Linked DNA regions of Oryctolagus cuniculus. The protein of the gene in region 1 purifies or fractionates together with the protein of each later gene. This does not show direct contact. Links are inferred from orthologs where the notes say so. Each region holds a gene or a part of one and is shown in the gene's direction. Other genes may lie near its edges.

The links. Proteins that work in one complex are often made in the same cells at the same time.
Region 2: the proteins of FBXL5 (region 1) and CIAO2B purify together in Homo sapiens (affinity purification with mass spectrometry; 3 studies listed by BioGRID and IntAct, counting the BioPlex papers as one, with this or other methods). This does not show direct contact. The link is inferred for Oryctolagus cuniculus from reciprocal best matches to the Homo sapiens genes FBXL5 and CIAO2B.

Annotation. Positions count from the first base shown.
Region 1 is NC_091433.1:10,675,046-10,678,691, reverse strand, and holds part of FBXL5 (F-box/LRR-repeat protein 5), read left to right. Parts: intron 1-2,266; coding exon 2,267-2,449; intron 2,450-3,646.
Region 2 is NC_091449.1:49,764,937-49,768,682, reverse strand, and holds CIAO2B (cytosolic iron-sulfur assembly component 2B), read left to right. Parts: upstream 1-1,518; 5' UTR 1,519-1,863; coding exon 1,864-2,005; intron 2,006-2,159; coding exon 2,160-2,239; intron 2,240-2,473; coding exon 2,474-2,599; intron 2,600-2,957; coding exon 2,958-3,003; intron 3,004-3,334; coding exon 3,335-3,432; 3' UTR 3,433-3,569; downstream 3,570-3,746.

The DNA of each region.
Region 1 (3,646 bases):
TCTATGATTTATCATCTCATATACTTGGGTCATAAACGGTATAGTGTTTCTTGAATGAATTTATATATGCAAACAATATATATTTTGTTTTTGACAGGCAGAGTGGACAGTGAGAGAGAGAGACAGAGAGAAAGGTCTTCCTTTTGTCGTTGGTTCACCCTCCAATGGCTACCGCGGCCGCCTGATCCAAAGGCAGGAGCCAGGTGCTTCTCCTGGTATCCCATGTGGGTGCAGGGCCCAAGGACTTGGGCCATCCTCCACTGCACTCCCTGGCCACAGCAGAGAGCTGGCCTGGAAGAGGGGCAACCGGGACAGAATCCGGTGCCCCGACTGGGGTTCCGACTGGGACTAGAACCCGGTGTGCCAGCGCTGCAAGGCGGAGGATTAGCCTATTGAGCCGCAGCGCTGGCTTGCAAACAATATTAATAATATTTGGCCAACCAAAGTTATTGAAAACCACCATGAACAGAGCACTTTTATAGTGTAATCCAACATTATGGATTCCATGGATCATAGTGGCTTTTTTTTTCTTTTTTTCATTGATTTTCTAAATCATTCATATGGATGGTCCCCAATTTAAAATTGTTCAGTTAATGATTTTTTTTGACTATATGATGGTGCAGAAGTGGAAGGCATATTGTACTTCACGTTTTTTGTTTTGGTTTCTTCCCAGGCTGGCAGTATTTGGTATGATACTCTCTAGTGATGCTGGGCAGTGGCAGCCATAGCTTCCAGTCAGCCATGCAAGTCACAAAGGCAAAAGCTGACACAGCACAATGTATTGTGCAGCTAAGCTATGATATTTGGTAGATTAGGTGAATTAAATACATTTTCAACTTTCAGTAGGTTTACTGTGCTCTAACCTCATCATAAGTCAAGGAGCAAACTACTTATATTTCTACCCTTTTTCATGTATCATTCTGTATGTTTATATCCAGTAGTACTCAAGGGAGTGAGTATGACAAAGCTTTTCTGTATACAGTTACTTTGAAAGTATACCTGCTTTTTTTTTCATAGCAGACTACCTCTTTATTTTTTATTCTTATTTATCTTTAATAGTTTTGCCCTTTAAGACATAATTAAAGAAACAGTTGGCATTCTCAGGTTTGTAAAAATTTCCTTACTTCCTGATGGGTGGTAGCAATGGTTTTCCTGTTAAAATAGACTACAATTTTTTAAAATTAGTCCTTTATTCTTGTTTTTATATAATAAAGTAGGTTAAACTCATGTTGAAACAAAAATATTGTAAGTTAAGCTGTAATTAGGCCCATAAAGTTTGTATACTTTACTCTGAAATGCAGCTTGTGCCTCATATACCAAGCTAAGATCTGTTAGATCTGGTTTAATTGTAATTATAACATGAGATTTAAAAGCATCACACTTAATTATGTTTAATTTTCTTCTTCAAAGCAAATTATAGCTGTGTTATGTTTAAAATATTTGGCATTTTAAAAGTGGTAGTCTAAAGCAATTTGATCATCCTATTTCTATATTTAAGTCGTTTTGTGAAGACATGATATACAAGATTCTTAAATTCTTTGTAGTAGAATTTAGTATACATCTTTTATTTAGTACTGTATTTTCATTTGCTTTCAAAAAATTGCTGCTGAAATAATACATTGTAAGAAATACATCTAATGACTTAGTTTCTCTGGTAGTTGCTGACAAGAGTCCCTTTCATTGTATACCAGCATCAGAACTATTTATATTGTATCAACTAGTATATAACTTAGGTAAGTTATGTATAGGTTAATGAAGTTAGATACCACAGACCTTCTATATGAAATAAGAAAATTAAAAAGGGAACATGTGGAAAGTCCTAACAGGAGTCATAATGCCTGAATAGAACATATGAGATTTGTGGGTGTCATTAAAATGCCTTGGAGATCTCATAATCTGGCCTACTATATACTTACTGATTTAAAGCTGTGTAACCTGTTTGGTTCCTTTTCCAAATGATGCTACTTATGCTACAAAGTGAGTATTGTTTTTGCTGTAATGCTTTTGTAAGAGGAAGTCAAATGTGTATTCATTATTGTAGCTCCCACTGGTGGAGTATGATTTGGGCTATGATAGTTTAACCCTACAGGTTCTTAACAATTTTAACATCCTCATGGGACCTGTAAAACATGTTACTTCCTGTTCACATCTTGCAAGCAGGAAGGAATTAACTCCAGGTACTGGATTTTATTTATAGAAATGTGGTTGTAATTTCTTGTTGCGTTCTTAAAGCCTTTACTGATAATTTTTTTCTTTTTTATTTCAGAAGCAGAAGTATCAGAACACTCCACAGGTATAACCCATCTTCCTCCTGAGGTAATGCTGTCAATTTTCAGTTATCTTAATCCTCAGGAACTATGTCGATGCAGTCAAGTAAGCACGAAATGGTCTCAGCTGGCAAAAACCGGATCACTTTGGAAACATCTTTACCCTGTTCATTGGGCAAGAGGTATGTTAATGGGACTTTTAAATTTTTTTAAAAAATACTATGATGTATTTTTCTAGGTGAATACTTGCAGTCATTAGTAAGCAGAATCAGGAAAGAAAACTGAGAGGTTGACTAAAAAGTGGATTTCATTGTTAGGTGATGAATTCTTGGTATACATTTTTGAAAAGCTAATAATGGTAAAATGTTCATGGCTAAATTATATGGTGTCTGCAGTTTCCTTCAAAATAACTAGGAAAAATAGTCTGGGGAGGAAATGCAAAGATTGACAAAATGTTGATAAATGTTCATGATAGGTAATGGGGTACATGGAGATTCATTGTATTAGTTCTTTCTATATTTGACTATGTTTAGAATTTTTCATAAAACTTTTAAAATTGATTTTCAGAACAGTTAAGTAAATTATTTGAGATCTTTTTTTAAAAAAAGATTTATTTATTTATTTGAAAGAATTAGAGAGGGAGAAAGATCTACCATCTACTGGTTCACTCCCCAAATGGACCCAGTGGCCAGGCCTGGGCCAGACTGAAGCCAGGAGCCAAGAGCTCCATCCTGATCTCCCATGTGGGTACAAGGGCCCAAGCACATGGGCCATCCTCTGCTGCTTTCCCAGGCACACTAGCAGGGAGCTGGCCCGGAAGTGGAGCATCTGGGACTCAAACTGGTACCTATTTGGGATGCTGGCACTGTATACAGTGACTTCACCCTCTTGTGCTACAGTGACAGCCCTTTGAATATCTTAAAAATAGAGAATTCTATGAAATTTTAAGATGAGGTACCATTATGGCTTATCTTGGTGGTGAATCAAAATAATCTATTTTTGTCTATAACATTTTTTGTGATGGGTAATTTCTCATATCACAAACTCATTAATTTCATTGTAGTGTGTTACTTACACATGTGAATAGTTAAAGAACATTTTCTTTTCATGAGCATATTTTACAACCATGGATTCTCATAGCTCATGGCATCTCCTGTCACTGAATTAAAAGTGTTTTCTAGGTGAATATTAACTTAAAAATTTACATTAACTTTTTTATAGTTCTCCATTTTGTGAGATTTTAACATGGAAATATTTTTTTAAAAAAGGTTTGTTTGTTTATTTATTTTAAAGGCAGAGTTAAAGGGAGGGAGGGACAGAGATCTTTCATCTGCTGGCTTACTTCCCAGATGGCTGCAACCACCAGAGATGAACTCGTC
Region 2 (3,746 bases), on another chromosome or scaffold:
TGGACTTGGGCAGCCCCAGCCCTCTCTGAGCTCAGGGCCCCCACCTGCACCCCCACCCCCGGGCCTAGGGTGATCCGGCCAAGCTGTCACATCCACCAGCTCTCACATCCACAGCTTCCTGCGTCTCGGCTGTAACTGCAGAATCGGGCAGGTCTGAGCCAGGTCCCTGTCGCTGCCCATGGAGCCTCACCCTGGCCCCTGCCAAAAAGAAGTAGGAGCCCCAGGCCGCCAGACGAGTCGAAGCCAAAGCAGGGTCAGAGGCAGCTCCGCTTAGCTCTGCTGTTCCCTAGATGCCACTGTGCAGATCCGGCCTCCTCCAGGGGGGAGTTTGGTGCTGGCAGGCAGCAGGCCGGGTCAGTGTCAGCAGAGGTCGCAGGGGGACCCAGGAGCCAGCAGGTGTGGCATAGCCCTCTCCCCTCTGCCCTGGCTTCGGTACCAGGGAGCCTCCAGGTTGATCTTGGAGTCCCTTAGTTCACTGACCTTGTGATGTGGACTTAAAGCAGCTGAGGGCCTTCCAGCAATTTCTGCCTTTGCCCTGCTCCACTAAGAGGCCCACTTCTTTCGTGCCAGTCCACACACCCAGCTTGCCGTGGTGCACCTGAGCCTCCTCATCCCGCTGAAGATACAGAGTAAGTTTGCTGAGCTGCCCCAGAACCCTCCCAGAGACCTCAGGAGTCCCGAGCCCCGCCTACGCTCCACCCTATTTGTATATTCAATTAGGGCACCACCCTCTACTGGTAAAGGGGGCTCCCAAGCTGGGATAGGGGCAATTCTTTCTTCTGAGGCTGCTCGCATCCACCTCTAATTGTGTACTATCTCTTTAATCTGTTTAAGTAAATCCTGCTCCCAGTCTTGCACTTTATCTGTAGCTCTGCTTTCAGTTCTCACTCCCAGAGAACGTGGAGTAAATGCAGCTGGGGGCCCAACCCTAACCCCCAAACCCTTAGGAGCACCGAAGACCCAGGTGCGAGCCTGCGGTGGATGAAGCTGTAACTGGAGGACCCAAGAGGCCTTCTGGGAGGAGGTGCTTGATTAAAATCCCCACAAATGGGAAATGGGCCCCATTTGCAGCTGGAGCAGAGGGGGCAGGGGTGGTAACCGTGCCTCTCCGGAAAGCACCTTGCCTCAGGACTGGCCGCCGACTGGGTCCCCGTCCCCTTGCCGCCCACGGTCTGGGGGTTTCCGCGGGTGCGCTCCCTGCTTCGCCAGGGCTTTCGTTCCTTTTGAAACGCCCGTGTGATTGCTTCTTGGCCTTTCGGCTAAGATCAAGTGTGAAACGCACCTGTGGCCGTGGCACTTCCTAAGGACCCACCCCGGGGGTTGTCCGCGTCCCCCTCTCCCACCAGATCGCGTTCCCCTCGTTTATTCACTTTGCAAAGCTTTCTACGGAACTCTGGGCACTACTGGTTTTATGATGCAGCGGAGAGGCAGGTGCGTCTCCTGGGGGTTTCCGGAAACACCAAGAACCTTGCCAAAGCAGGAGCGGCCCGGCCTGGCTACGGGAGCGAGCCCCCAGTGTGACAGCCCCGAGAAGGTGGCGCCGGGCTCCACCTCGGACCGCCTTTAGCTTTCCTAGAACTGGCTTTGACCTCTACATTCATTCCAGCTCTGCAGGGGCTCGGACAGCCAGCACCGCCGGGGTCCCCTCAGGGCGCCACTGCGAGAGCGATCAGCATTTTCCCGGGTCCAAGAACCCGGCACTCTGAAACCGCAGCCTCTCTCAAACGCCAGGTCGGGCAACGGCAGCGCGGCGTGTCCCTCGCGCGACCCCGTCGCCGCGCCACGCCCCCTTCCTGTTCCCCGGAAGTGCGCGGGTAGAAACGGAAGCGCGCGCCGACTGGGGCTTGGCGCAGTAGTCCCGCGATGGTGGGGGGTGGCGGCATGGGGGGCGGCCTCCTGGAGAACGCTAACCCCCTCATCTACGAGCGCTCAGGGGAGCGGCCGGTGACGGCGGGGGAGGAGGACGAGCAGGTTCCGGATAGCATTGACGCACGCGAGATCTTCGATATCCGCCGCTGCAGGGAGCGGGCGGGGTCGCGGGGGCCTGGGGCGGGCGGTGGGGATGGGGGAGTGATGTGCAGCAACCTTTGGAGCCGTGTCGGGGCCGGGCGTCCCTGGCAGAGGGCGGCGACACGGGGTCCTTTTCCTTCACTTGCCACATCTTATTCGCTCCATCAATGATCCGGAGCATCCGCTGACCCTGGAGGAGTTGAACGTAGTAGAGCAAGTCCGGGTTCAGGTGAGTCACTCGCAGCCTCGGAGAAGGGCGGCTTGAGAGAGCCGGAGAGCCCCAGCTGGGCACCAGCGGCCACGGACACATGGGAGAGAGGGTAGTTGTGCCCATTGTGTGGATGATGAAGCCGAGGCCCAGAGAATTCGGACGCCGTGTGCAGAGTAACAAACTGAAAAGAGCGTGTCTGGCCTGGGGCCGGGTGTGACCCCCCCCTCCCTCCACATCTCCCTCCCACAACAGGTCAGCGACCCCGAGAGCACAGTGGCTGTGGCCTTCACCCCCACTATTCCGCACTGCAGCATGGCCACCCTTATTGGCCTGTCCATCAAGGTCAAGCTTCTGCGGTCCCTTCCCCAGCGTTTCAAGGTCAGTGGCATCCGAGTCCCCTGCGGTGAGACAGGCGCCAGGGTCTGTAACTGGAGGAAGGGGCACAAAAGGGCGTGAACATGGACAAGACCTCGGGGTGGGGCCTGGAAGGATCTCACAGACGTGTGGAGTGTGGCGGCCAGCGCAGTAGACAGCTGTGAAAGGTCTGGCCAGTGGGCCTCTGAGTCAGCAGTGGGTGACCAGTTCTTCGGAGTGGCTGTGGGTGAGATTCGGCTTTAACAGAAGGACCGGGACCCAGAGCTATGATTAGGAGGAAGGGTCGGCTGGAGGGCCGTGGGGGCGGGGCAGAAGGGTGGGAGCTGCGTGGGTGTTCAGGCTCCGGTTGTCTCCTTCCCAGATGGACGTGCACATTACTCCAGGGACCCATGCCTCTGAGCACGCGGGTAAGTGGGGGCTGGCAGCGCGGGCGGCAGCCTGGGGCCCCAGCCCGCGTGAGGCTTTCCCCTCGCCACGGTGGCTTTGAGGGTGAGATCGCAGGAATGCAGTTGCCAGAGACCTCTCAGTGAAAGTGGTGGCCCAGGCCAGCGCTGGGCTAGCAGGGGCAGCCAGGTGGGAGGGATCCCAAGAGGGCAGAGTAGATGTGAGCTCAGGAGGTTGGGGACCCGGGAAGGAGGCGCCTTGTTGATGGGGACGCAGCCTATACCCGGTCCCAGAGGTGAGCGCGCCTGACGCTCTGACCCACCTTCCCACTCCCTCCCTCCCTCCCTCCCACAGTGAACAAGCAGCTTGCCGATAAGGAGCGGGTGGCGGCCGCGCTGGAGAACACGCACCTGCTGGAGGTTGTCAATCAGTGCCTGTCAGCTCGCTCCTGAGCCTGGCTGCCGGCCCCGACTTACCACGTCTGCCCCCAGCTCCGTGCAGAGTGCACAGCCGTTTGTTCAGTTACTGACAGTGAGAAGCTAATGTTTTGCATTTTGTAATAAACCCTTAATTTATATTCGTTTCCCAACATGCCTTGGCATCTTTCATTGTGATGGACTCTTTTGGACTTTGGGAAGGGACAGTGATGGCGAGTGCAGAGAGAATCAGTGAGGTACAGTTTATTTATCTGTAAAATCTCTCCCAGTACTTTGATGAGGAAGAGCTGCAAGTGTAAAAAAAAGGGGGGGGAGGAGGGAGGAATGGG